Linked DNA regions of Alligator mississippiensis. The protein of the gene in region 3 interacts with the protein of the main gene of each other region in a pairwise test. Links are inferred from orthologs where the notes say so. Each region holds a gene or a part of one and is shown on either strand. Other genes may lie near its edges. The genes, in order: FAM221A, CHRD, HOXA1 and RGS17.

What was found.
Region 1: the proteins of HOXA1 (region 3) and FAM221A interact in binary tests that used the Homo sapiens proteins (3 or more experiments, as listed by UniProt). The link is inferred for Alligator mississippiensis from reciprocal best matches to the Homo sapiens genes HOXA1 and FAM221A.
Region 2: the proteins of HOXA1 (region 3) and CHRD interact in binary tests that used the Homo sapiens proteins (3 or more experiments, as listed by UniProt). The link is inferred for Alligator mississippiensis from reciprocal best matches to the Homo sapiens genes HOXA1 and CHRD.
Region 4: the proteins of HOXA1 (region 3) and RGS17 interact in binary tests that used the Homo sapiens proteins (3 or more experiments, as listed by UniProt). The two-hybrid records come from large-scale screens. The link is inferred for Alligator mississippiensis from reciprocal best matches to the Homo sapiens genes HOXA1 and RGS17.

What each region holds. Positions count from the first base shown.
Region 1 is NC_081828.1:158,549,446-158,556,384, forward strand, and holds the start of FAM221A (protein FAM221A), read right to left. Parts: upstream 3,001-6,939; 5' UTR 2,972-3,000; coding exon 2,901-2,971; intron 250-2,900; coding exon 76-249; intron 1-75.
Region 2 is NC_081830.1:83,523,799-83,531,067, reverse strand, and holds the start of CHRD (chordin), read right to left. Parts: upstream 3,004-7,269; 5' UTR 2,840-3,003; coding exon 2,701-2,839; intron 2,564-2,700; coding exon 2,460-2,563; intron 1,169-2,459; coding exon 1,042-1,168; intron 461-1,041; coding exon 341-460; intron 81-340; coding exon 1-80. UniProt on the Homo sapiens protein: Dorsalizing factor. Key developmental protein that dorsalizes early vertebrate embryonic tissues by binding to ventralizing TGF-beta family bone morphogenetic proteins (BMPs) and sequestering them in latent complexes.
Region 3 is NC_081828.1:156,073,318-156,080,795, reverse strand, and holds HOXA1 (homeobox protein Hox-A1), read right to left. Parts: upstream 3,020-7,478; 5' UTR 2,857-3,019; coding exon 2,202-2,856; intron 2,017-2,201; coding exon 1,933-2,016; intron 1,720-1,932; coding exon 1,364-1,719; 3' UTR 272-1,363; downstream 1-271. Other genes in the region: HOXA2 (homeobox protein Hox-A2), read right to left, coding at 7,053-7,478. UniProt on the Homo sapiens protein: Sequence-specific transcription factor. Regulates multiple developmental processes including brainstem, inner and outer ear, abducens nerve and cardiovascular development and morphogenesis as well as cognition and behavior.
Region 4 is NC_081824.1:131,938,360-131,946,141, forward strand, and holds the start of RGS17 (regulator of G-protein signaling 17), read right to left. Parts: upstream 3,012-7,782; 5' UTR 2,879-3,011; intron 1-2,878. UniProt on the Homo sapiens protein: Regulates G protein-coupled receptor signaling cascades, including signaling via muscarinic acetylcholine receptor CHRM2 and dopamine receptor DRD2.

The DNA.
Region 1 (6,939 bases), about 2.5 Mb from region 3:
ACTAAAATGTTATCCTTAAATGATTTACATTCCTCAACTTTAAAAAATGGCAGAAAAAACCCCCAAACAACTTACCTATGGGTACAAAAGCACAGTGTCTCTGGGCCCACTAGCTTACAGTCCATGCCAGTTGGTGATCTCCAGCTCACATACAATCTATTCTGTAACCGGATTGGTAACACTTTTCTTTTATACTCCTCATATTCCTCGGGAGTAAAGAGTTTTCCTCCATCATCCTCACCTACAATTCTGTGAACATTTATACATCATTATTTATGAAAAACCAAGAAGATTTTTTAAAATAAAGACAAATGCCAGTAAGTTACACTTCTGAGAACTATGAACAGTGATGCACTAGCAAATAACACAGAGGTTCTCAAACTGTGGGTTGCAACCTCCTGGAGGGGTCGTGAGCAACTTAAAAGGGGGCTGCAAACTTCCCAAGGGGGTATGCGCAGTGGCGCGGGGAAGCAGCGTGTGGCAATGGTACAGAGTGGTGGATGGTAGCAGAAGCTGCCCCACGCGAGCTCCCTGTCCCCTGCTGTCACCATCCAGCACTTGGGGTTGCAGTATCACAAAGTTTGAGAACTCCTGAAATAACACTAAAAACTGTATCTCCCACAATACCATGCTAGAGATATACTTGAGCTTTTAGACACATTCTCAGCCCAGGGCCAGGCTGTTAAATAAATTTGCTATCATCATCTGAAAAGTGTTTTAAGAGGAGCTAGAAGGAAGGAAAGAAGAAAAGGGGGAAATGCAGGCTATCAAGTTTTATCCTGTACAGAAGAAAACAAAGGATGAGTTGTCAGTTATCCAGGGATCTTTACTTCACTGTCTTAGACTTGTGTGTGACCTCTGGTGCATCACTTCATCAATCTACATCTTAAGGGCAGAGTAAACTACGACAGTTAAGTTAACCCCTCTGCTGAGTGAGAAAATCCAGACTGCATTACAACACTCAAGACTTACAGAGTTGTTTGGATTTATACTACAAAGCCTGCTGGCTGATCTATGTTTGCTAGGGGCATGAAAAGATTACACCCCAGAATCATTAAAGCTCTGCCAGCAAAAAACCCTGCTGGGGATATAGCACTGCTGGCAGAGAAAGGTATTACTCTGTTGTTAAGGGGACTTGATTTAACTTTGGGGGTAGAAAAACTCGTGTTGGCATAGCCTGTGTCTGCACCAGAAGTGTAACCCATCAGTACTATGGTGTTATAATAGACACTTGGCATATTGTAACGATATCAGTACTTACATACCTTTAAAAAGCCCTTTGGATATGTATGTAGAAATGACTGTATAAAAATAATCACATGTACCTTTGGTATTTTATTGAAAGTGTTACTAAACTAAGATAATACTGTATAATTTATCATATCATATATGATTATTACAATAGAAAGTCATTATATAATGTGGTTTAAGTGAGCATTTTAATGGGATGAAGTCTAGATGAAAACATACATAGAGACTCCATATTGCATATATTTTTAAATAGGTCAAAATGTGTGTCAGCTTGTATTTCTGGAATACAAAAGTATCATCTTAGGCAGGCAGGCAACATACAAACAGGCCTGGGCATGGAAGAGAAACATATTTTTCATCTCCAATATTTCTCATGTGATGAAATAACAAAATGAGCTTATACATGGCAGCAGAAAAAGGTACTCATTCTCATGTTAGAACATCCATTACTTGGTGTTTGTTTTTTCCCTGCGCTTCAGAGCTGTGCTGGTTGCCACCTGGGGCTGTCAAGGAATGTTTTCCCCTCGTGCTGCTACAGGTGTCCGGGTAGGAATTTTTGGAGGTTTTTTGGGTGGCGGGTCTGCCTTCCTCAAAAGCACTGGGTGTTGGGTGAAGCCAAGGCAGATTTTGACAGGGGTGTCTTGATGCTCACACTGGAACTGAAAGCCAGAGGTTCCTGGTTAGAGAGTTGCCACCTTTGGAATCAGGAAGGAATTTGACTCCATGGTCAGGCTGGCATGGACCGTGGGGATTTTTGCCTTCCTCTGTATTGTGGGGTGTGATCTTGAATCCTTCGACCTCTTGAACGTATTTTAACAACCTTGCAGCAGTAGGACATTGACAGTGTTTCTGGGCAAACTGCCTTGTGGTTTGACAGGGTTACTGTGCGTAAATTTTAAGAGGGGTTTTGATTTGATTTTTTGGAAAATTCTTTGTATTTCAGGTCAAATCAGCCAAGTCAGTTCTGAATCCTCTTGACTGAGCAACACTCAATCATTCAAACACCATCTGTGGTGCTACAACCAGCAAGTATCCTCCACCCCCACTTTCCAACCTGGGGCTTCAAATACTCCCAAACCCATTGGCAGGCATCCTACCTGCAGGCCCAAGGCCTGAGGGCGTGCATAAATTTTAAGGGGGGGGGGGTTGTATGGGGGGGAGGTTAAATCTACCTTGTGTTCCAAGTCAAATCAGCCACATCAGTTCCAAATCATACCAACTGGGCAGAAGAGAACGAGCCGGGAGGTCTTGGGATTTTGGAGGTCCCTAGATAACGGCTCCAGCTTAGCCCACCGTTAGGAGCAGGTTCGCCAGGCACTTAGATAAGACCGTTTGGATCGGGATGATCCTGCCTGGAGCAGGAGGGGTGGGCTACATCAACCCTTTAGGCAGACGTGACACAAATGACCCCACAGCCTCCCCGAGCAGCACTCCAGCCTTTCTCCAGCCCGAGCTGTTGCTCTTTTCTGCCCCCTGCCCCGACAAAGATGCCCGGGGCCCCAGGCCCGGGCCGCCCCCGCGCCCTCGGAGCGACTGCAAGAACAGAGAAACCCGGGAACCGCGCGTGCAGCGCCGGGCCCGGCAGTAAGGGCGAGGCGGCGACAGCAAATCCCCCCTGCCGCGCCGCGCCGCGCCGCGCCGCACCTCACCTGCGGTACTCCGCGTACTCCTCCACCGCCGCCGCGGCCCCCGGCTGCAGCCGCAGCCGCAGCCGCTCCATGGCCCGGCCGCTGCGGGGGGCGGGGCGTGAGACAGCGCCCCGCGCGCCCGCCCGCCCTCCCGCCGGCACCGTTGCTGTGACACGCGCTCGGGCACGCGACCCCCTCCCCCCTGCGCGGCCATCGCTGTGACACAAACACGCGCGTACGCCACGGGGGCCGTCCCTGGGACTCGCACATACATACACATCTCCACACACACACACCCTCCCCGCCAGGGGCTGCAGCTGTGCTACACAACCCCTCCAGGGACACGGACACACACACACACACACACACACACACACACCCTTCTCCAGGGTCAATGCTCACACACAAACGGCCCTGACTGTGCTACATATACACAAACATACACCCCCCCACACACCCTCCAGGGGACACTGCTCTGACACCCACACACCAGGGGCCATCCCTGTGACTGACACACGCACCCCTGGCTGTCCTGCACGCACAAACACACAGCCCTGACTCTGCTGCACGCACGCACAGAGTCCTGACTGCTGCACACTCACGCACACACACACGGGCCTGCACTGCGCTGCACGCACACACATTGCTGTGCTCGGGAGCCATAAAGCAGCCCTACAGCAGACACAACTTGTACCCCAAGCAGCGCTCCTGCTGCTGGCACAATTTTTTCCCACCTCAACAAAAAAGGCTGCAGCAGCAAAAAACAGCTGGATATATTGCCGGCACATCTCTGCTGGTCGCAAGGACCCCCAACTAAACCAGGAGGCCAGCAGAATGCGTGATGTCAGCCTGCTTTAAGTATGCCTGCACCAGACGTTTTGCCAGAATAACCTGTTGGTTCAAAAGAAAGCACGCCCCCACCAGAAGGAGCCTTGCCCTAGTAAAAGCTCTAGCGTTGGGTGGGTGTGCAGTTGATTCCTGCTCCACCCAAAGTAAAAAATCAGCTGCCCAGCAGTGGCAGCAGCATTTCCATTGAGGCGACACTGAGGGAGTTGTTTGACTTCATGTACAAATCTACCTGATTCCTTCTAAATTCTTCCTTCCACAGGTGTTAATGACCCTCTCTCGGTTATAAAGGTCTTGGTGTTCAGCCAAGCAAGTCTTTCTTATGTAATTTTGCTCTCTGTTAATGGTTCTTGGTAATGTATCTCCTATTTCACTGTCCTGCAGACTGTTTTTAACTCTAGCTAAAAACATTAACTCAGGTGTGACAGTGTTAACACAGGTGAACATTTACTCAGGTATGTAAGTAGCAGTCAGTCAAGCAGTGGATACGCTATCAAGAGTCTCAAGGAAGCTAGATTTTGTTTTATGAATCTGAAAAATATGTCCATTTAATTCTAATGACTGCAGCACTAATGAAGTAACTTACCTTGATTATTTTTATACAAATGATATAACAAATGAATGCACATTCCAAGGACATATTTATTTATTTTGCTCTTATCTTAAACTGAAAAAATAAAGCCCTTTGCCCCTAGCTTATTAGTAAAATGTCCAGTTTCTCCAAGTTTGAGAAAAGGATACCTTGTTATACATGAGGATGTACTATACCACTTGCACTCCCAGATCCACTCATGGGCACAGTTATATTACTATAAAGGTGAACCAGCCTTGTTGAGTTGTTCCTATTCCTCTTCCTGTACAGGAAGGCTGTCCTAGTATAAGCCTCCTTCAAAAAAAAGGAGGGTGGGGGGGTACCACTGTAACATCACAACGAAAGCTGTGTGTGTAGATAAGACTGCATAGTGTGTAATTGTCATCACTGTTTTTTTCCAGCTTTTAAATTTCCAGCCATATTTAAACTCCAAAACTGACATGGGCTGTAAGGATTTTAGCTTTTCTGGTAACTGCCACTCCTAACTAAATCCATGCTCATGATCAGGTAGGTATGTATGGCAATTCACAGATTCATGTTTGGCCATATACAATAAAAGAAAAACCCTAAGAGCTTACTGTGTAAAAGAAAAACACTACAAGCACAAACAGTTCAGTTTTTCATGCCTGATTCCCACAGTCCTTTAAAGTCAATAGAACTGTTCTGTTGACTAACAGAAGACCAAGTCACAGTTTGTAACTGTGGCAATTGAAGTTAACAACATGACTGTTAGCAAACTGACTTATGTCAAGTGAATCTTTCCCTTAGTTGATTAGACAGATTTTGTTTCTGTATGCAAAGCTCCTAGTGTAAAAAATAGGCCCTTTTTCAGAGAAAGGTGTGTGGTTGTGGTGGTAATAGGATAATATGCACTAATTGAAAACTTGTTCCACATCATTAATACAATCCAAATATTTCATTTTATGAATTAGAAAAGCATTTATAAAAAAAAGAATACCATTGCCTTTACTCAGCATTAAGAACTGAATTATCAGAACTTTATTCACATCTTTCAAGTATCAGGTTCTGAAGATGTGAAATTTTTAAGCATTTTCCCATGTTTTATGTACTCTCTAAAATATTCTGTCATGCTTCCTCATAGGTCTTATACTTCTCTTTGTCTGCCCATTTTACAAAAAAAAACATTTGTAGTCACTCAGAAGCCATTTTGCCTTTATCAGTAATTTAGACAAGAAATGTTACTTCAAAGGCACCTTATACACACTCCTGTAAACTTGGAACTCTCTCAACAAGTAGACAGGATTGCACATAAGCATGGTTATTGAGCCTTTTATGTGCCAAAATTGTTTTACAGCTGAAATGCAGTCTACCTTTGGATAGTGTTGAACAGTAAATAAAGACAATATCCAATTCAAATTCAGGAAGGAATGTTGAGATCCCAAATGCAAATACAGAAACTGGAATTCAATATAGACATTTCTTAAATGAATCATGGTCTTTTTAGTGTCTTAAACTGACAATGACCTTCACTTCAGAATTCTATAAAACATGATTCTTCCAGCAGCTCGAGTGAAAAAGCCCTATATAGGGAATCATACTTGGAGAAAAGAGTGGCACCTAAACACAGAATCAGCAGCAGGTGGATTTTTCTTGAAGGTCTTCTTACGTGGTTTAGCTTGCAAGTCTCTATAAGCCTAGAGCCTGCACGCGCCGGGTCTGACCCCAGGTCGCTTTCGTCGCTCTGCACACGGGCTGTGGCCAGCAGCCCGGGCAGGCCGGGTCGGAGAGGGCGGGCGCCGAGCTAGAATTAGGCACAGACACGTAACGGTTGATTTTAAGATTATTTTACTTACACCGAGATGGTCGTGGTGTAGGCTGAGAACTTGCTTGAGTTGCGGTTACAACAGAAAACACGAACACACGTGGAGGTTGCAAGGCTCCACGCAGACAGAACACGAACAATCACATGGAGGTTGCTAGGCTCCACGCAGACAAAACACGAACAATCACGTGGAGGTTGCTAGGCTCCACGCAGACAAACTCCGGATGTCCAGGACAAGCGCGCATTAAACTCGTCGTTACGTCTTATAGTAGGCTCCGTTCGAAGACGGGAAGAGGTGGGCGGTGGATCAGGCCGCCAAACCCCTCTGAGCGACACACAGGGTTTCTATTACCCTGCCGCGCACACCCAGAGTCCCCACGAGATGGATGCGGAGTCCTCTTCGGCTTGGGCGGAAACTGCTCAAGCCTCTTATACGGCTAGCAGGCCAATCGCTAACCGCCACGTGTGAATAATTTAGAACTAGCCAATTGTGGGGCACAAATTTGCATACGACGAGCGGGAAACCTTTGCACCATGCATTTCTGTATTGCAGAGGAAATGCACCCTGCAAAGATCGCTGCAAAGTGGCGGGAACACTCCCCTGCACACGGGTTCTCTGCGCAGCAGAACTCCTCCGTGCAGTGAAGTTGTAAACCCACGGGGATAATTCTTAGTGCCGAAGCGCACACAAAAAAATCAGACCTTTGGGTCATGACAGAGCCCAAGTAGGGTTAACTTCAGATAAGCTACCAAATACAATTGTTGATACTCATTTCTGTCACTTTCTACAAGATCCCTAGTAAATGGGTATTAAAAAAAAAAGAGCAAGTGGGAAGAAA
Region 2 (7,269 bases), on a different chromosome or scaffold from region 3:
GGAGCGCACGAGGGTGAAACTGGCTTTGGCCACGGCGCCGGACTCAGGCTGTGAGGCGCTGGTGAGCAGGGCCACAAACTCTGTGGCAGGGGGAGACAAGGTCAGTGCATGAGGGGCACTGGCGGGCATGGAGGTCTGGGCACCTGAAGAATGCCACCCCCCCCCTCTCAGGTGGCACCAGAGCAGGCTGCATGCCAGGGCTGGGAGCTCCTAGCCTCAGCTTTGCAAGTAATAGGCCAGCCCCTGTTTCAGCACCTGTTCCTGTTCCTGCCCCTGCCTCAGCCCCATCTTGATCCCAGCTGCCTTCAGCCCATGGGCACCCTGGTCAGGCCGGAGCTACCTGCCCGGCTGTCATCCCGTGCCAGGTCCTCGGTGTTGAGGTAGGAGCGGTCATTGTGCAAGCTGTCCTTGTCCTGGAAGTTCTCAAAGCCATCCAGGGGTGGTTCGCGGCTCTTCTCAGCTGAGGGGAGAGGAGACATTCTGGGTCAGGGACTGGTGCCTCTAGCGCAATGGAGGGGAAACTGAGGCACAGTGAAAGGCAGGGCTGTGCCGGGCTTGTCCTGCCAGGACTGGGCAGGCTCAGGAGGGGAATGCATGCCTCTCTGGCCTTCCTGCCTATAAGCCAGCCACAGCCCACGGCCCTATAACATCCAGGGTGGGAGGCAGGTAGGCATGGGGGGGAAGGAGCAGGCTGCTGCCCTGTGCATTCCTGCCACCCTCTCTCGGGGCAGGGACCCTGCCACCCCTGGCTGTGACCCCATGGGTGGTTTCCAAGGGAAGGCCTTCCGGTGCCTGCAGTCACCCCCTGCCCCAACTCCTGGCCTGTGCTGGCGGGCTGGCCCGTCACATGTCTTTGGTCACCGCTTCCCGTTGCTGTGAGACCCAAACAAACAGGGAAATTCTCTCCACGGGGAGAAATGAGGACACCTCAGCCCACACCATGGCCACAGCCACAGCCATAGCCACAGCTCCCTCCCCGCCCAGCTTGGCCCGGTCCTGCCAGGGCCTATGCCTAGTATCCCCTCCTAGCCACAGCCTTACCCTTGGGGCAGGACTTGCAGCAGTGGCCTGGCAGCAGAACAGCCTCGCTGCAGGGCAGGGGGGGGCAGTCGTGCTTAATGTTCTTGCAGCTGACTTTGCCCGTGGCCTTCCCTCGGCGGCTCCTCTGCTGCAGGGGGAGAGAGGTGTGTGCACGGGGGCTGTGGGGGGCAGGATGCAGGGAGCCTGCCTGCTGCGGGGGAGGCAGGGTGTGTGCATGCATGGATGCATATATATGTGTGCACACTCGTGTGTGTGCATGTGTATGTGTACATACATCCATGCATGTGCACATGTGCCTGTGCAGGTGTGCAGGTATGTGCATGAGTGTATGTGTGGGTGCAGGCACATGTATGTGTATACGTGTGTGCATGTGCCCGTGTAAATGGCAGGGCACCTCACTGCTCCAGGAGACCTCGGCAGCACGGACCCAGGGGCAACCTTTCCCCACCTCTCCAGGGTGAAGAGGGCCTGATGGGGGAGCTGCCTGCTGCAGCCCTGGGGGCTGGGGTAGGTGAAATGCAATGGGGCTGCACATCCTCCATGAGCTGGGGCTGGGGCTGGGGCTGGGATGGGATGGTCTGGGGCCGGGCTTGGCCAGGGCTGGGGTTGGATCCTGGGTGCAGTGATGCAGGGGGTGGGCTGGGACAGGACTTGGACTAGGCTGGGACAGGGATGAACAGGGCTGGGCCGGAGCTGGGTCCCCGCGGGGTGATGCAGGGGGGCGGGCTGGGGTTGAGTCCCGGGTGCGGTGATGCAGGGGGGCGGGCTGGGGCTGGGTCTCCGCGCGGTGATGCGCGGGGGTGGGCTGGGGTTGAGTCCCAGGTGCGGTGATGCAGGGGGGCGGGCTGGGGCTGGGTCTCTGCGCGGTGATGCAGGGGAGGCAGGCTGGGGTTGAGTCCCAGGTGCGGTGATGCAGGGAGGTGGGCTGGGTCCCCGCGCGGTGATGCGGGGGGGGGTGGGCTGGGGTTGAGTCCCAGGTGCAGTGATGCAGGGTGGCGGGCTGGGGCTGGGTCCCCGCGCGGTGATGCGGGGGGGGTGGGCTGGGGCTGGGTCCCCGGGCGGTGATGGGTGGCTGTGGGCTGGGGCTGGGTCCCCATGAGGTGATGCAGGGGGGCAGGCTGGGGTTGAGTCCCAGGTGCGGTGATGCAGGGGGGCAGGCTGGGGTTGAGTCCCAGGTGCGGTGATGCAGGGTGGCGGGCTGGGGCTGGGTCCCATGTGCGGTGATGCAAGGGGGTGAGCTGGGGCTGGGGGCTGGCCGCGCCCTGCTCCCTCGGAGCCCCGGACCCGGAGCGGGAAAGCCATGGGGAGGGGCCTGGGGGCTGCGCCTGGCTCCGCAGGGCACGGAGGACCGACCCCAAGCGTCCGGGGCAGGGGGTCCGTGCGCCCCCTCCTCCCCCGGCCCGGAGCCCGGCACGTACCGGCTGGCAGGAGCAGAGCACGCAGGGCATCACGCCGAAGGGCTCGCCCAGGTCCGGGTGCCACGACTCGTCCAGCGCGTAGAAGCGGCCGCCGAAGGAGCAGCCTGCGGGAGCGCACCCTGAGCGCACGGCCCCGGGCACGGGGCACGGGGCACGGGGCACGGAGCGGGCATCCCTCCCCTCGTGCCGCCCGTGCCAGGCCGGCCGAGCACCCGGGGGCACGGGGCTGCGGGGCTCCTACCTGCCGCCGCGCGGGCGGGGAGCGGCTCCGCGTCGGGCTGGATGGGCAGGGCGGGCTTGGGGCGGGCGGCGCGGCCGGGGCCCGGGCACAGGGCGAGGGGCAGCAGCGCGCCCAACACCAGCAGCGCCGCGGCGGGCATGACCGGGCCGGGCCGGGGGAGCCAGGCGTCCGGCGGGGCGAGGCGGGGAGGCTGCGCCGGGCCCCGGCCCCCGCCGGCTTTTATAGGCGGCGGCAGCAGCGCAGAGCCCAGGATCGTCAGCAAACAAAGGCTCCGCGAATGAGGCTGCGGCCGGGCCGGGCGCGGGGCCCAGCGGGGGAGCGGAGCGGAGCGGGATCGGCCCCCCGGGGCGGTCGCGCTGCTCCACCAGCCGCGGGACCGGACGGGACGGGACGGGACTGCCTCTGCCTCTGCCCCGGCAGCCCCGGAGCCCGGCGGCGCAGCCGGGACCCCGCACAGCGCTGCACTCGCCCGGACCCCCCGAGTCACCGCACCGGGACCCCCCCGTGTCACCGCACCCGGGACCCCCGAGTTACCGCACCCAACCCCACCCTTATGTCACCGCACCGGGACCCCCTGCGTCACAGCAGCGGGACACCCACCTGTGTCACCGCACCCGGGACCCCCTGTGTCACCGCACCCAGGACCCCCTCCTGCGCCACTGCACCGGGACCCCCCCGTGTCACCGCTCCTGGGACCCCCCCGTGCCACCGCACCCAACCCCACCCTTATGTCACCGCCCCGTGCAATCTCTCCACGTCCCGGGGCCCCGTTACGTCACCGCACCCCAGATCCCCTCTACGTCACGGCAACCCTCTACATCGCCAAAGCCCAGGACAACCCGGCTCGGCCCGGCCCGGCCACCCCGACGCCTCACCGCAGGCGCCCCTGCCCCGCTCCACCGCTCTCCCCGCGAGGAGCCGGGCCGGACGGACTGCGGGATGAGCTGCCCGCACCGCTAGCCCGGCCCCGGCCTCGGCCCCGACCCCGGCCCCGGCCCCGGCCCCGGCCCCGGCCCCGCAGCACAAGGGGGTGGGCGCTGCCCTGAGCAGCCACGGGGGCCAGCGCTATCTCCTGCTGGGAGCCAGGGCTCCTTGCTGATGCCCTGCGGGCCCTCGAAGGGAGCAGGGGGCACTGACTGTGGAGGAGACACAGGCGAGGTGAACCCAGCCCCTTCCCAGCCCAGCCCCAGCTGCTTAGGAGCTGTCCCCTGGCTATCAGCACTGCAGAGACAACCGCTAGCCAGGGTCCCCCTGAGCCCCCTGGCCCTGAGGCAAAGCTGTACCAGGTCCTGCAGCCTGTAAGGGGGGACATGGCTGCCCCTTGTCTTGCACACAGCAGATGCCAGCCACTGGGCACCAGGGCTGGCAGGGTAGTTCAGCACTAGCCCAAAGCCAAAACTCAAGAGGCCTAGTGAGATCCCTACCCTAAGCCCCTGCTACAGGCCTGTGCCCTGGCCCTCTGGGGGGCTGTGCCCAAGCCCACCACTGGACCCACCCTTTGGGGGTGCAGGGTGCTAGCCCTTGGCTGGCCGGGCTGCCAGGGGAGGGTGCATAGCCCCAAGGCAGTCTGTGCTGCTGGGACAATGCAGCGCGCTCCAAGAAGCCTTGCCAAAATCAACGTGGATCCGCACACACATGCCGGCCAGCTGTGCCGGGCAGCCAGGGAAGCTGCTGCTGACAGGAGGCAGCTGCCACGGGCGCGGGGCCTGGGGATGCCTGGGTCCCTTCCATGCAGCGGTGCTGGGGAGCCAGCCAGCAGGTGCGTGGGTGCTGGCCCCGGGGGCGAGGCATGGGTAGATGCCTGCTGCCAAGACAGAGGCAGACTTTCTCTGCTGGGCCAGAGAAAGGGGCTCCCCATGAGCCAGCTCTAAGCTGAGGAATGCAGTTGGGGCTTCACCATTGACTCTATCTACTCCGATCACTCACTGGATGGGCTCCTCACCCCACGGCTGCTCTGTGCTGGTCCTACAGGCCTTACACTGCCTTGACCCCGCAAGCCCTGTGACCCACATCTGTCACGTGCTGGTATTCCCATCCTGGCCCCCACTTGGAGGGCTCAGCTCTGGACCAGTGCTGGTTCGGCCAAGCTGGATGGTGCCCCCTGCTCTTGGAGCGCAAGGAGCTGTGGTGTGGGAGGGTCCTTGGGTCCCATCCACTGTCCTGAGCCAGCTCCCACCACAGCTCCTTCACCCGCATGGGGAAGTGGCCATGCACAGTCCCTGTCACAGCACTTATCCCGGGATAACTCAGCATTTTATCCCGGGATAACTGGCAAATGGAAATTTCCTCCTGGCTTCCCCAGAAATCAAGTCACAGTGGAGACCAGCATTTACTCCAGCATCAGTGCCATGTGCTGTCCCTCCGCTTTACTGATGTTGAGACTAATCAGGAATAAATGTCATGTGTCTGCAACCTGAGGCCCCTCGGGATACCCCCGGGCTGGGGAGTGCCTAGGGGTTAAGGACTGAGCCCCTGAACCAGACTCACTAGTCTGGGGGTGCTGGTGTGGGGCAGGGGGACAGCTGGGTGCTATAGTATGGAGCTGTAAGTACTTGAGGCCAGACCCTTGTCACTGGCATGCCTTGGGGTCTCTGGCCAGCCAGGGTGGGTAGAAAGCATTGCCTCCTACCTCTCCCCAAGCGCTTGTCACGGTGCAGCCAAATGTGCCTCAGGGCCTGCACTGATGGCTGCAAACCAAGGCTGGAGGGGCTGCATGGGAGCTGAGAGCCCCCCAGCTGGGGAAACTGAGGCACCAGGGGGCATGAGCTGCCCACAGCCCCTTCACGAGCCAGGGGGTGAAACTGGGATTGAGGGGTCCTTTGTTCCAGCAGGGGGGGAAAAAAAGGGTGGGGGCGTTCCTTGGTTCAGCCAGACACCACGCACCACGTGCCGACTGCTTCCACCCTATCCCGGAGCAGGCAGCTGGCGTGTGTGTGCGTGTGTGTGTGCATGTGTGTGTGAGCACAGTGAGGAGGCAGGGGTGTGGAGCCGCAGGGGGCAGGAATCCAGGCAAACTCCTCCAGCTGCTGCAGAGGCTGGGAGCTGACAGAGCCGCGGGGGGCTGGGCGGGGGGGGGGGGGGTGTCCCCAGGAGGCTGTATCTGCGCCTGTCACAGCCATAATGCTGCATTCATAAGAGCAGCCCCCAGCCCCCCCTCCCGCCTGCAGCTCTGGGCAGTGCTGCAGCTGGGAGCCGCTTCCAGCTCTTCCCCTGCAATGTTGCAGGGAGCCTGGTATGCTGGGGGCACCCCTGTGCCCCAGGGCTGGCGCGTGAGGGGCAATGCCCACTGCAGAGCAGAAGAGGCCCTTCTCCTTTTGCCAGTTCAAGCAGGACCCAGCTTGGCCTGCTTCCCTGGCCCCAGCACCCCACCCCACCGAGAGCAGGCTGGTGTGGTGGGCCATGCTCAGCTGTGACAGCCTCGCCTGGCTACACCAGACTGCACCCAGCACATCCGTGCCTGGTGGCAGCTGGCGGGTCCTGGCCGTGAGTTGTCACTGCAGGACACCAGCTGATGTGCGGGTGGTGAGGAAACAGGCGCCAGCGGTGCCTTGGCTGGGCACAGCGGGGCCTGCATGGAGTTCATGGACCAGCCCCACCGGTGCCCCCGCTGGGGAGGGGGCTGGGAGGGGCATGAGTCCCTGTGCCATGCGGGCTGGCGAGTGGCAAGGGGAAGATGCAAGCTCCCATGCCCCTGCCTTACAGCTGCCCCAGGGTGCTCCTGTCGGGTACGGGCGTGCTGCACCCCCCACCCCCCACCTAAAACCAGCCCTGCCCAAGGTGGTGGCCACACCTATTTCCAGAGGCCACGCCCCCACAGCCTCCTGCACCTGGTGGAGAGCTTGGGGCTTGCTGTTAACTCTCCACCTAGGACTATGATGGCCCAGCTCTGCGCTGCTCCAGATCCCTCCTCCTTTGGCCAGCCCCCCTGGAAGACATCTCTGTGCCCACCTCTGCTGCCCTCAGCCCTGCTCTGTGCATCCCCCGTTGTCTGCTGGCATCTGCTGCACTTTGAACACACCGGGCAACAGTGGACCAGTCCTGTTAGCAGCACCCAGCCTGGCTACCCTGGCTCCCTCTGCCCCTGCCCTGCACCTTAGGGCCAGCTGCAGGGGGCTGGGGGCACCTCCTGTGGGTGCCCAGAGCTTCCAGCACCTCCTTTGGTGACTCACATGTGGGGGGGGGGAGAAAGTGCCAGGCCCCCCCAGCCTTGGGATGAGCTTTCCCATGACTAATCCCCCCTCCCTGCGGCCCAGCCTGGGCTGGCTGCCTGCGGTGTGCGGTCGCCCAGGCCAGGCCCTGGTCCCCAGAGCCTGGCTCACTGTGATCTGTGGAAACATCTCATAACTCACGTTGGATGTGGGGATTATGGCGAGCTCCGCAGTATTTGCACAACTGGAGCTGGGCTCTGGCGGCCAAGACAAAGACCCTGGGGGGGAAGGAGGAGAGGGGAGGGGGACAAGGGGGGGGGGGGGCTAACAGGTACCGGGGGTGGGGGGAGCAGCTGCCTTTTGTCTGTCACACATGGATTTTATTATTTCCTCGCACTCGCTCCCAAGCTTCCCCAGCCGC
Region 3 (7,478 bases):
CGTTGTTAATATTGTCGTCATCGAGCGCGCACGCACGCACACACACACACACACACACACACACACACACACACACACACACACCCCCCAGGCTGGTGCGATGCCGCATACTGGGCGCTGTGGAAAGGACACACAAGAGTCCTGGCCTCAGCAAAATAATGAGTAGGAGAAAGGTCTTTTATTGAATAGCGTCTCGAAGGCCACGCCAGGAGAATAAGGAAGCTAACTAGGTAGGTGATCAATGACGTCACACATGCACTAAAACAACGTGTACCTGAAACTTGAATATATTTATTACAGACATTTTAGGACCCGTAAATTCTGCTCTGGATTCCATCACTCACAGAACCGCAGAACCTTTAATGATTGTAAATCAGAAAGATAGTTAGCTCACAAATGACAACTGATAGAACTCAGTGTACCTTCAGTACATCAAAGCATTGTGCATCATGCAAAGTTCCATACACGAATCACAGAAAATATACATTCATTTGGCCAGTCATCACATTTACGATTAGGCTGAAAAGACATCAACTCGAAGGAAGGATTACTTTGAAAATAGGAATAGGTGAGGTCTTTTGGGGGGGATAAAATACCGTTTTAGGTCCAATATAATCCAGCACAGATTTCTGGAGGGGGAGGAGAGGGGGAGCACACCAGTAAGGTTTACAAAACCTAGTGCAATTGAAGCCTTCTTCTGTCTCATAAAAAAAAATGGTGCTACAATTCGAGGTATCTGATTGCAAATTTAACTGATATCATCAGGTTTACCATTATAAAATTGGATCCAGTTTTGAGAATGTACCCACCCTGCTTAATCTAAACATCATTTCTAGAAAATCTGTAAAAAGATAAATCTCTTGGACAAAGTATTTACAACCAACAAACCCATACACACGAAAAAAGAGAACGCATTAAATTAATGGATGAAAGTTCTATAACTCGTGTAAACACTTTCAATAGTGCATCTCATCATGAGGTCATGTACTCTCGATAGCTTTGTGTTTCTGTAGGGGAAAAAATATAGAAACATCCTTGCAATTTGGCTCTCCGGAAACAGGGAGACCCTTATAAATGTGCTAAGGAGACAAAAAAAAAAAAACAAAAAAAACTCACAACTCCTGCTGGAATGTAAGGAATGAATGTAGGACTAGTTAATTAAGTGGTCATCAAAAACTGACATTAGAACCCATTGTGTTTAGCTCTGCATTAAATAAACAGCCGAGGGTATTTCTAAACCCAAATGCTCACGGAACAAGTTATTTGAACGTCAGGATGACCCGAATATTTAAAAATATATATTTACTTTAAATCAATGAGGGTACGCTAAAGATGTAGCTATAGGGTGGGGCCCAGGGATGTGTCAGTTTGAGGTAGTAAGGACGTCTGAGGTAGAGGAGGCTGGTGAAGGGGTGCACGGGGATGAACTTGACTTTTCTGATGACTCTTCTGCTTTCTCCTCGCATCCCGTGGGGGTAGCCGGGGAAATGGGTAGCAAGCCCTCCTTCTCCCTTTTCTTCTGCTTCATCCTACGGTTCTGAAACCAGATCTTCACCTGCGTCTCGTTAAGTTGCAGCGAAGCAGCGATCTCCACCCTCCTGGCCCTGGTCAGGTACTTGTTGAAGTGGAACTCCTTCTCCAGCTCCGTGAGCTGCTTCGTGGTGAAATTGGTCCTCACCGTGTTGGGCTGCCCCACGTAGCCGTACTCTCCCGCCTTCCCTGTGAAAAGCATAGGGCAAGTTTAAGCAAGTGCGATGATTTAGAGGTGACATAATCAATGTGTACACACGGGCAGAGCGATATGGAGCAGGAACTCCTCGGGATGCGGGGGAGCCCGGCAGTGAGTGATGGAGTGGGTCGTGCTAAGCTGGAGCCAGCCACTAGTGTCAAAGGAAGCCTGATGAGTGGGCTATGAATCGCAAGACATATTACCACGGGGGCGGAAATAAGAGCCTGGACTGTCATGATGGCAGAGGGGTGAACTTGTCCGCGCTGCCTTGCCGGAGATCTCCTTACCTGTAAAAAAAATAAAAATCCAGATAAACAGCAGGCCACGGGGAGCACAGGTGCGGGGGGGGGGGGGGGGGGGGGGGCGCTCTGCCTTGTGTCTGCTGCTCCAAAACAGAGAGAAAGAGGAGAGAATCCCCCCACCACCACCAAAAAACAAAACAAAACAAAACAAAACTTTGATTGCGACTGACCTGTTTTAGGTGGGTTTCTTTTCACTTTCATCCAGTCAAAGGTCTGCGCTGGAGGCGAGGTCTCTGCGGAGGGGGAGCGCGCGGTGTCCGGGTGGCTGGCGTGCAGAGGGGACAGGGGGTGGCTGTACCCGGCCAGGGGCAAGTTCTGCTGCTCGGCTCCGTAGGAGGGGTGCATGTACTGGGCGGGCCCCGCCGAGCCCGCGGCGTAGCTGTGCTGGGGGGGGTGCTGCTGGCCCACGGGAGGGGAGATGTTGCCCGAGTACAGCGCGGGCGCGCACTGGGGGTACCCGCCGCTGCCATCTGCGTCCTGGCCGAGGGAGTAGGGGCTGTACCCCGCGCTGAAGTTCTGGCTGCCATATCCCGGGCCGCAGCTAGGGTGCGAGTAGGACATGCCCAGGCTGCCGGGGTGCTGGTAGGCGCCCGCCTGGGGGTGGTGCGGATGCGGGTGTGGGTGCGGGTGGGGGGGGCTGATCTGGACCCCCCTGCCCACCAGGAACCGCTCGTCCCCTGGGCTGCAGCCATTGGCACTGACCGCGCAGGACTGGAAAGTTGTAATCCCGTGCTCGGGGTGGTGGTAGGCGCGGGCGGAGCAGGTCCCAGCCTCCCCGCTCAGGAGGGGATACTCGAGGAAGGAGCTCATCCTCGCCGTGTCCATCTGTCACGGAGTGACCGGGTCTTCCGCGCCCCGGGTGCCCGTGCCAACTTTCTCACCTCCTCCATGGGGCCAGGAGAAAAGCGAGATGGATGCACAGGGAGCTGGGGACACGTGAGGGCCGCAGCCAATGGCTGCGCCTCCTGCTAAACTTTCCCAGCTCCTGCTGGTGATGGATCACCGTTTCAGTGGCATTTAAATCCCGAGCGCTCCTCCATCAAGGTGACGCGCAGCCACCACCACCTCCCTCCCCCGCCCGCCCCCCCACTCTGTGCATTGGGGCTTCCGAGCCGGGGCCGGAGAGACAGTGCGCGCCCAGGCGCTCAGCCCGCAGCAGCCTCCGGAGGGGGGGCGCGGGGGGGGCTGCTCTTGCCTGGATTTACAGGGCTGGAGGACGCCGCCTGCCAGGTAAGCCGGGGCCGCTGCGGGCCCCCCGCTCCCCGGGCGCGGGGCGGTGCGTGGTTGCTATTGTTGGCGCTGTCAGTGCAGCCAGCACCCCCCCCCTCCCCTCCCCAATCCTGCGGCAGCCTCCGCGGGGCCCAGCTGGCTGGGGCAGGGGCTGCGCGCAGGGCAGGGCGGGGGGGGGGAGTGTTCCCGCGCTGCGCCGCCAAGAGTTAAAGGGGTTGCGCAGCCCGCGGACATTAGCATGGCAATGAGGCGCCTGGGTCATCGCACGCCATTGTGCTGCGGGAGGTGCCTGGCAGCCCGCGGGGCTCCCTGTGCCCGGGCAGCCGCCAGCTGCAGGGGGGCTGCCGACGTGGCCGGGCCGGGCCGGGCTGTGCCACGCTCAGCCCCGCAAGCGTGCACACGCACGCCCCAGCCCAGCTGCCGGGGCAGCTCCGCGGCGCAGACAGACGCAAGCCCCGGATGACACGGCGGGGCGGAGGGGAAGGGGAAGGGAAGGGAAGGGAAGGGGAGGGGAGGGGAGGGGGGAGCGGGGCCCCTGTCAGCCTGCGAGCCGCTTTGTCATGGGGCGGGAGCGCAGGGAGCCAGCAGATGGTCAGTGGCGGAGGCTCCCGGGGGACGCCCCCCCAAGATGGGCTCAAACTTTCCCTCTGTCCAGCTAGGGAAAGCCGGGTCCGTGTGCGGGGGTGGGGATGGGGACTGGTGTGTGAGTGCGCTACCACAGGCACATGCAGACAAGCAGGGCCCAGGTGCCGTAGATCCACGCGTGGGTGTGGATACCTCCCCTGCCTGTGCCTGGGCGTGCTCAAATGCACACGCGGGGAGAGGACCCCTCTCCCGGCCGCAGCCCCAGGGAGATGCGTAGAGAGAGATGTGCCCTGGGGGAGGCTGCAGCTGCCTCTTTGCCAAGTCCGCCCTGAGGGGGGGGGGGTTCGGGGGGAGGGGGCATGCAGGTGCACTTCAGCCCTGCCTTATTTTGCCTTGGCCCCCTGCCCGATTGTTGGTTTCACTCTCAAAGGCTCCTGCCCCCTGGCTCTCCCCCTCACCCACTACCCCCCACACCCCCGGGATCGGCTTTCCACAGCCGTCTGTGCCCCTGTGCGGCCACCTCCGCCCGCCGCCCTGCACCCCGCAGCCCCGCTGTTGCCACTGGGAAGCGGGTAGATGTCTCCCTTCCACCCGCTAGGCACAAAAGAGCCGCCCTCCCCCTTCCGGGCTGCTCTCCCGCACCGCCATGAACAGGCCAGGGCCGCTTGGAGCCATTGAGTTGCTCAACACTCTTGGCTTGGGGGCGGGGGGGCGAAGCAGGGGATTCCCTGAGATGCACGAGGCGGCCTGCACTCCGCCTCTGTGGCTCCAGAAAAGGCTGGAGGGGCACTTCCTCTGCCTGCCCCAGCTGGGTGGAGATCAGGGCAGAGGCAAGCCACAGGGACCGCTTACTGGAGAGCTGGCTCCCCCCTACCACCCCAGGCATTACCCCGCTTTTCATCACTTGCTACCCCCAAGTCCCTCTCTCAGCTGGACACCCCCGCCGCAGCCCGGCTGCCTTGCCCTCGCTTTCCTCGCCATGGTGGGGAAGAAATCCGCCCTTTTGTTACATTGTGTCTGCTCCAGCGCGGCACAATGAGGTGGGGGAGGCAGAGTAGGGGCAAATGGAGACAAGCCTTCAGAGCAGGGCTCTATGCCAGCTCTGTTCCCCCTTACGCCGCCCCCAGCCTCACCCTAGATCTCAGAAGGTTTCGAGGGGGGCATCTCCAAGCCACTGCTGCCCTCCCGGTGCCCTAGGCGCCACTCTGACGCTCTCCCCATTTCACCTCCCCACCCCCCGTCTTTTGCCCCCAGCGCCCAGGCAGCTTTCAGGGCTTCCCCGGGAGACAATCGCTCCGCGGAGATGTATTGATTTGCAAAGCGATCGGGGAAGAGAGTTCAGGGCGGCCGATCTCTCACTAGGACGTGGCCACCTCCAGGCCCGGGGTGCCTGCAGGGCATCGGTCCAGTGGGAGCTGAACGAGTCCAGCTAAACAGGAGTTAAAATCCTCCCCCCAGGCGAGGGAGCGAGCCCCTTTTGGGCCGAGAGAGCCGGAGCAGGGAGAGGGAGCAGGAGCAGGCCGGAGAGGTGTGCCGCACCCGCAGCCCAGCCAAGCTGTTGTTTTAAAAGAGCAATAAAAATGAATTATGACTAAACGCCTTCTAACTTAATGGTTTTAGACGGGGATCCCCAGCCCCGGCACATACGTAAGAGGGTTTTTATTTGTGCATGTGTTCCTGCAATTGATCTCTTTGATGACATTCTCATTCAGAGAGAGAGTTTGATTTATGAGGCTAGGAAGGATCGCGGCCAGCCCTTCTAGGCATTACCCACGCGACCCAGCTCCACAACGTGTTGCAGAGCGGGGAAACCACCCTCCTCGCAGGCAGAGGACATAAAGTGCCCCGCGCAACTGGACGCCTCGCCGGCCAGCTCTCCCCGCGCACAGACACAACACACGGGGATCCGCGCCATCGCCTGGCTCTGGGAACCGCAACTCTCCCTGCCACCATCTGTTGCTTGATTTTTGGCCCTAGCACTCTCGGCTGTGTTAAAAATATCGACGGGTCTTCCAATGCAATCCTCTGTGGGGGTTTTATACCGCGCCACGAATGGGGCAGCGGGCTGCTGAGTGGGCTCCATTGAAATTTAAACGAATGAAGCAAGAGTTTGGCAACCGCAAAGAGGTTTATGGAGAAAAAGCCTCCTTCCCTGCCTCCGCAGAGCCCCGGGAGGAATCGCGTTAGCACAGTCTACAGCCTTCCGAAATGCAGTCCTATCCCCCCCACCCCCAAATAATAACACTTGTATTTTTTTTTATTTCCTTTTTTTTTTTTTTTTGTAGGTTTGTTTTCTCGGACGCGTTCAGCACATGGGAGCTAAGCAATCGCGCACTGTGCTTGTATTTTTAAAGAAGTTTTCCTTAAAACGAATTGTTGGACGCACGGAGGTTTAGCTTAGCAATTTCTAACCCAGCCTTTTACTACAGCAAGAGGCCAGTGTCTCTAGCAAAGCATTCCTGCCATTTCCTATGGATTACATTTGGTCTGTAACGGAGAGAGCTGCACGTTTGTTTGTTTGGGGTTTTTTGGTTTTTGTTTTGTTACAGTCTAGAAAACCCGAAATTTGTATTCACACGCAGATAATAGAAGCTCTTCGAGATATGCCCAGGTTAAAAGGAGGAAATTGTGTAAGCTTTGAGCGCAGGCTTTATAATAATAATAATTATTGCTTGTAAGAATCCTTTCAATAAAGAATTGGAATGTGCTTTTTCTCTCTAATAAATATGTCACTTTACCAAAAGGAGAGAGGTTGTGAGCGGATTGTTTAATTTTATTTCCGAAGTTAGATTAGGAGGGGGAGGAGGAAAAAAGCAGCAGCAGCAGACCCGTTAGACTACCAGTGGTGAGGAAGAAAGAGGGTGGAAGAAAAAGAGAAAGCTACTTGTAGCAAACAAGAATTTATTCTACCAAAAATACTTATGACAACGCATCCTAATGCAATACAAAAATAAAAAGAAAGTGACGATACAATTCTATATGATCACTTTCTTACAGGCCTCAGATATTGCTTTCATAGAAGGACCTAGGATGTGGCTAGGTTAAACTGAACACAACTAAAACTCCAAAAGAAACGGTAAAATGGCTCTCAAACACAGCAAAGGGAATTAAGAAACAGAAAATACTGACCAGGAAAAAGGAAAATAAAATTAAGTCATTTCAAAAAGGAAGGCAGAACCCTTGGCGAGAGGAGGTCTTGACTTTTCTCAGTAATTCAGGTGCTGCAAGTCAATTGTGGTGAGTGTGTCTGTAAAAAAGTCAAAACTGTCAGCAGAGATATCTACAGGACTGTCCAGAGATCCTGGCAAACTGGGGGAAACTGCATCTGAAAGCTGTAGGCAGGAATCTGTGGAGAAAACGTTAAAGTCCTGTAAAGAAGGGACATCCAGGGCCTCAGGACTGTCATTGTTCAGGCCAGCTGCACAGTTCTGGGCCATTGTTGATAGGCAGTTCTGAACAGTGGGTGACTGATGCTGAAAATGTTTCAGATTTTTCTCATTGCTTGTTAAAGGCGAAACTGGGAAACTTTGGGACTCTCCATTGTGTACATTCTGAGCCTGCTGTTGAGATAGTGCATTTTGCTGAAAAGTGTAGCCTTCCCTTTCCAAAAGAGCCCCTGAGACATTATTGAG
Region 4 (7,782 bases), on a different chromosome or scaffold from region 3:
TACAGTAATTGGGTTGGCATCTGATACAATCACAATATTCACTTACATTATTTATTTTATAGTTTTTCCCATTTTCATTGCTCAGAAAGATCTTAGACATGGCTCAACAAGGTGTCCAGGCAAAGGACTCCCATTAAAATCATTGGGAGTTAGTCACATAAATAGGAGTTAGATACCTAAATACCTCTGTTGATCTGGACTTAGTACTTAGATTATAAGCTCTTTGGGGCAGAGCCTGCACACTCTTGTGTGTGTGCATGGTACCGTGCACATTGTGGATATTCATTTGGTCAAGTAATGATAGACTGGGGGAGTAGACTTGATAGGAACATTGAAGGAGAGGGTATCTCCCCTGGATGTAAGGCAGGGGAGTAGGGGCAGATGTGCATGTGGAGGCAGTATTATATCTAGGGGTGGGAGAGTAGGCAAAAAGTTAAGAAAGGCACAGAAATCACCCCCAGCCCTGCAGAGTCCATGTCCTGGAAGCAAGAGCAGCCACACAGTTCACTCACTTGCTTGTTTTCTGCCCAGGGCCAAAAAATTTCCCAGCTGCTGCTGTTTTAAGAGCGGAGGTAGGGGCAGCAGCAGCTCAGCCAAGAGTCCCCAGCATGGTTAAGACTGCTCTGCGAACCACGTCCCCACTCTTGAACCTGTGCCCCCTCTCTCAGAAACTACATGACCCCCCCCAGCTCTCCCCCAGGGCTTGCCCAGGGCACCAACTCTGCTTGTTATGCTTCTGGGTAGGCAAGGAGTGGGAGGAAAAGAAAAAAGTTTCTGTACACCTAATTGAGAATGGGTCTTGGGAAGCATGGCTGCAATGGGCCAGAGGATTTGCTCACCTGAGTAATATGCAGGAAATGGGTATGGGTGGTATAGGGTAGAGTTTTAAAGTTTTAGGGTGTCCACTGGGGAATTTATTTTTGTTTCTTATCTTTTGGGTTGTTCATCTGTAAGCTGCTCTGAGTCTTTCTGGATAGGGTGGGATATCTCAACAACAACAAAACAATACCTTCAAAGATATAAGATGATGTTTCTTACCAGTGTTTAGGGGTAATTCCTCTCTGTTTACTTCAATGGGTAAGAATTGAAGTCACCTAAACATTTCTTAAGTCTTATAATAACATTAGCATTCATGGAAATACACGGGAATTCACTTGGTGCAGCTGCACAGCGCTGGTTATTTTTTTCTTAGCTATAACATCCATAGCCAGTCGCTAACTCCCCTTCCCCAGCTTTCCTCCAGTGCAGCCTATTCTTCTGTTTCATCCATTTTCCCTGACAGTGAAAAACTCTGAGGTCACTAAAGATCAAAGGTAAAGACTGATGCACTGATGTATGAAAACGTAAATGTTGTTTCTACAATCTCTGGAGCTATTGGGTTGGCATCTGATACAATCACAATATTCACTTAGGTTATTTTATATTTTTGCCCACATTTTCATTGCTCAGAAAGATCTTAGACATGGCTCAACAAGGTGTCCAGGCAAAGGACTCCCATTAAAATCACTGGGAGTTAGGCACATAAATAGGAGCTGGATACCTAAATACTTCTCAATAAACCGGTCTGTGCTGGTGACACATGGGGGCCACACTCTTTAGGATGGGGAGGAGGGGGGAGAATTATCCCTCCAAAGTCCTGGACGCCCCAACTCTGAGCTCTAAAGCGCCCTTACACCAGTGCTGGAATAAGCTGGGCCAGAGCATTAGGAGGGAGGCGCGCTGCAGGAGCCCAAGGTGGCTAGGCAGGACCTTCCATCTGCGTCTCAAGGGAGGGGGGAGGTCAGCATTTCTCGCAAAAAAAAGAAACCCGGGGTTGAAGGGATCAGAGGGGAAACTAGCTCCTCCCTGGGAGGAAACCCGCCTGCCTGCCAGGCGGAGTGCGGGCTCCGGGAGGTGCCGGGAGCGGGGCGCTGGCCGCGGGCAAGGCGGGCACCGCTGCCCAGCTCGCGGGGATGCCTCCCTCCCTGCCAGCCGGGCCGGGGGCGGCCAGCCGGCCTCCGCCAGCCTCCGACATCTTCCCGGCGGGGGCGGGGGCGCGGATCCGGCCCCTCCCGGCCCCCTGCTCGAGCCGCGGCCGGCTGGATGCTAACAATGAAGGGCCGGGACCCGCCCGGCCCCGGATCCCCGGCGCCGGGGTGGGCGATCCGGAGGCAGCCCGGGCCCCCTGCGCGGGGAAGGAAGCGAGGCAGTGGAGGAAAGGCAAGGGGCATCTCTCTTATCTCCTTGCCGTTTGAAAGCCAGGATGGCTTTCCTCGCCCCCCCCGACCCAAGCACGAAGCCTGCAGCCGCTGTGGGGGCATGCGGGAGGGCGAGAGGCAGCCTTGGTTGAGGATGTGCCAGCCGGCGGGTGTAACATTGCAGCCCCCGGCCATCACCGCCCCTCGCCGGGATCCCTCGCGCCGCGGAGCGCCAGCGCCAGCACCCGCGGGCACCGGGGAGGATGCCGCCGCCAGAGCCGCGGGACCCAGCCCCTTTGTGCATCCGTGCAGGGGAGCGACAGGCACACTCACACCCCCCCCCCATACCCACCCACCGATCCGTTGCTCGCTGCCCCTTTTACACACACACACACACACACACACACACACTTGCAGTCTCAGCCGCCGATCCATTGCTCACTGCCCCTTTTACACACACACACACCCAAGGCAGTCCCCCCTGTGAGTGCTTCTGCAGCTGCCCTCCATCCCTTACCCTCTCCCCCCGCTCCCCATCTCTCTTGTATTTATTAATTTATTATTTTTCCCCCCGCACCAGGAGCAAGCAGACATTTTGGTGTCATTTCCCAAGGTTCAGGTTCAAATCCACCCCCCACCCCCCCCAAAACAAAAAGAACCCCCCCCCCCCAAACCAAACAAACAGCCCCAGTCCATCTTACCCAGCCCCGCCTGGACGCACGCGCTTGGCACGGAGCGATCCCAGGGAAAGGCTGGTGCAGCTGGTCCTAGCGGAGCTGGGTTGCTGCCATCCGCCCAACTTCAGCACCCAGCCGGCAGGGAGAGAGAGAGAGGAAAGGAGGGAGGAGAGGAGAGGAGAGGAGAGGCAGGCGGCGCACATGCGCTCTGCCACTAGCGCTGGAGCCTCCCCGAGCAGCTGGAGTTTCCCCGCTTGTCCCCAGGCTGTGACTCACGGCCCGGCCCCAGCCCCGGCCCCCGGGAGCTCCCGCTGAGCCGTGCAGGCGGGAGGGGTCCAGCCTGGGCGATGCTGGTCCCAGCCCCGTGGGATCCGGCGGGCACGAGCCAGGCTGGATTACAGGGATGGCTTTTGAAGACACCTGGTGTGATGCGTGATGGATCAGTGGGATGTTTCCCAACCTCTCTCTTTAAATAGATGCCAGGGGCGAGTCAGGACAGCTGCCCTCTCTGTCTTTGAAATGGAAAACGGGCATCATGGATGAATGCATCCCGACTGGAAAAGGCAAAGGCTCGGCCCTACCTGGGTGCCACCTATTTTTGTCCCTCCCCCATTGTGCAAATAGAGAAAGAAAGGCTAGCTGTTGCTTTTGCTGCACGCACATAAAACAGCCCCAAACTTGATGCACCTCAGTGCAAATGCTGCCCAAACCTGGACCCAGCCCCTGGACACCGTTTTGGCCACCCACGCTCCACAGAGAAGTGTGGGTGCTTCAGACTGCAACACATCTAGTTGAAGCAGGAGTGTAAACATGTGGCGATAGCTTCTGAAGCCTGGACGATGTTGCCAATTATTTTGCCTGAGTTTCACAGCTGCCACTGTCTAAATAGAGCACATGTTTACTATACCCACTGCACCTTAAAAATCTGGACTCTGATATGCCTCGGTGCACCCATTTTGGAGAAACACTTGTTTGGCTTCTGGATTTTGTTGAATCCCACTCCCATTCTAGGAATCCTAGCATCTAAACAGACAACAGATGTTGCTTCTACTAGTCAACCAAAACAATCTGGCTCTCAACACATCATAATAGGAGAAAGGTGCAAAAATGTTAATTTGGAACCTGAATGCTGCTGACTGGATATCTTCCTTCTATTTAACATCCACACCGCACCTCTTATTCCACCAGAATAACTGAGATCCCAATAAATTGTGGTGGTATAGCACTACAAGAAAATGAGGCCAAAACTGTTCTGATTCTACCACAGCTGAAATGAAACAGCCCCATAAAGTTAATGCTCCTAAAAGCATGGGCATCACTTGTATTTTCTTTCCAAACCCCAAATCCAATTATCAGAGAACAACAGTTATAATCATTTGGACTCTATCCTTGAATCCTGGCACTGACGCCACAGATTCCTAGTGATTAGAACTTAAGCATATGAAAGTCATTGCTCTGCACTTCAGACACCAGAGTTGGTTTGCATAGATGCCTAAATAAGGATGTTGGGGCCTAATTTTAAATGCCTGTATTTGAGTTGTATACCTAGATGTGAAAATCTGGTCTACATTTTTAAATAACAAAAGGGCAGCACAGATGACTGAAATCTCAAGGGCCTCCACGTGTACCACCTCAACTTCAGTTGTCAGAAATAATTGATTGAAGCCATATCCCTTTCACCCATACTGTCATGTTCAGTCTTATTTCTTGAGCTTTCTTCAGGGGGCATGTTTCTGTGCTGGATACACATGTCTTGTAGACTTTCCCCTTCAGCTTCACTGATACTCTTCTGTTGCATAATATTCCTGTTGCCAATTTCCAGTTTGTCCACCCTGCCCTTATTCAATGATTCAGCTCTTCATCTAACTGGATTCTGCTGAATGGTTGACCCCAGCTACTTGAGCTTGTCAACTTTTCAAACATGTTTTTCATCAGTTATCACATTTCCCATATCAGGTACCTAAGAGAAATCACAGTGCATATATTCCATTTTGGATAGACTAATCTTCATTTCTGTTCCCTCTAGCACTTCTCTCCATCGGTCCAATACAGCTTGCACTTCCTCTAGACTCTCAGCTCAAATGACCATGTCATCCACATAGACCACATTCCAAGGTGGTCATCTTATTTGTTCAGTAAACACATTCATAATGACTACAAACGGGAATGGCCTCAAAGTTAACCCTTGATGTACAAAATTCTAATGAATCAGCTAAGATGCAGACTGGGTGAATGCTCTGCAAGGTGGATCCATAACTGGTTGGTTTCATAGATTCATAGGTGTTAGGGTCAGAAGGGACCCCAGTAGGTCATTGAGTCCAACCCCCTGCCCTGGGCAAGAAAGAGCACTGGGGTCAGATGACCCCAGGTAGGTGCTTCTCCAGTCTCTTCTTGAAGACCCTCAGGGTAGAGGAGAGCACCACCTCCCTTGGAACCCCTTTGCAGATTCTGGCAGCCCTTACTGTGAAGAAGTTCTTTCTAATGTCCAACCTAAATCTGCTCTCGGGCAATTTGTGGCCATTGTTCCTAGTTACTCCAGGGGGTGCCCTAGTAAATAGAGTATCTCCTATTCCCTGCTGCCCTCCCCTGCTGAATTTATAGGAAGCCACAAAGTCACCTCCCAGCCTTCCCTTGTGAAGGATGAAGAGATCTAGGTCCCTCAGTCTCTCCTTGCCTGCAGGCCTCTGACCACATGAGTGGCTCTCCTCTGAACCCTCTGAAGATTCTCCGCATCCCTCTTGGAGTGTGGCACCCAAAACTGGATGCAGTGCCTCCAACTGGGGCCTGACCAGTGCCGCAGAGTGGGGAAGCATCACCTCCATGAACCTGTTTGTCATGCACCTGTTAATGCATGATAAAGTGTAGTTAGCCTTGTTCATCACTTCGTCACATTAACGACTCATGTTCATCTTGGAATCAACTATGACTCCAAGATCCCTTTCTGCTGCTGTGCTGCTGAGAAGGTCATCCCCTAGCCTGTAAGTGTTGGTGGTTCTTTTTGCCCAGGTGCAGCACTTTGCACTTGTCTTTGTTGAACTGTTTCCTATTTCATTCTTCCCATTTTTCCAACCTGTCCAGATCTGCCTGGATCCATTCCCTACCCTCTGGTGTGTTAACTTTGTCCTATAACTTGGTATTATCTGCGAACTTGGACAGGATGCTCTCCATGCCCTCATCCAAGTCACTCTTGGAATATTCTATTCTTTGGGTGCATCTACATATGACACTATGTCACAGTAGCAATGTGCTATGGTGATGTAGCAGCTGCAGGTATCTACACATGACCAACAGCTACTTTGCCAAAGTGACATGCTCCCCCAGTATAGCATGCTGCTACGGCAAAGTAGCTGCTAAAAATAAGCATGCGCTGTACATACGGTGCAGTATGGGCTGTTACTTCCTTTTGGAAATACTAAATCATGGCACAGTAACAACGTCACCATACTGACATGTGTAGATGCATCCAATGAGTAGCTATCAATGGCTCAATGTCTAGTTGGGAGAAGGTATCAAGTGGGGTTCCCCAGGACTCTGGGCCACATATCATTAAACATAGTGTCCTAGAGAAGTAGGGCTGGAAGGGACCTCTATAAATCATGTAGCTTAACCCCATGCCTGAGGCAGGATCATCCCTATCCAAAACATCCCATATAATCATAATCTAAACTCTACATAAAACTACCCTCAACCCTGACACAACATAGACTTAACACGCAAACCTGCCACAAGTAAAGCAGGAGAACCATGGCAGCCAATGTCATGCTTGTATAAAATGTCAATATACACTCAAGAAATCCCAGGTAGAGACCCCCTGGAGTCAATACCAATCTAACCATGGGGTAAAATTCCACTTGTGATTTGGACAACTGGACTGAGTGCACACTTGGCACATTTGCAGATGATACTGGGTTGGGTGGATCCTCTGAAAGGTAAGTCTAAGATACACAAATACAGACTGAGGAATGATTGGTTAGGCTGCAGTACCACAGAAAAGGACCTGAGAGTTACAGTTCACCATAACCTCGGTATGAACCAACAGTGTGCTCTTGTTTCAAAAAACAAACTAGGAACAACAAAACCACAACCAATAATGTACCAAACTGTATTAACAGAAGCATCTCTTGTAAATCAAGGGAAGTGATTCTTCCACTCTGTTTGGTAATGGTGAGACTTCTCCTGGATTACTGTGTCCAGTTTTGGGCTCCACACTTCAAGAAAGATGTAGACAGATTGGAAAGAGTTCAGCAGAGCAGAAGAACAACAACAACAGAGAGAGAGATTAGAGGTCTGTAATACACGATTTATGAGAAAAGGCTATAAGAATTAGGGTTATTTAGTCCGGAGAAGAGAAGACCCGGGGCGAGGGGATGGATTTGATAACACCCTTCAAATACGTGCAAGACAATTATGGATAGGATGAAGATGGGCTTTTCTCTGTGACTGTAGGGGACAGAACTAGGAGAAGTAACCTCAAGCTGCAGCAGAGGACATTTAGGTTGGAGATCAGGAAGAACTTTCTGATTATGAAGGTGGTTGACCATTGGAACAGGCAACCTGGAAAAGTTGTGGAATTTCCATCCCTGGAAATTTTCGAAAGCAGGTTAGACAGACACTTGGCTGGGATGGTTTCGTCAGGGATGATCCTGCCTTAATCAGGGAGTAGACTAGATGACCTCCTGTGGTCCCTTTTATTCTTAGTTTCCTATGATCCTATATTACTGGCTCCGAGTCTGTGATCCACCAAAATCCTGAGGTCATAGAATCATAGAAAATTAGGGTTGGAAGGAAACTCAGGAGGTCATATAATCTAACCCCCTGCTCAAAGTAGGACCACCTCCAACTAGATCAACCAGAGCTGTGTTGAGCCAGGCCTTAAAAACCTTCAGGGATGGAGATTCCACCACCTGTCTAGGTAACCCGTTCCAGTG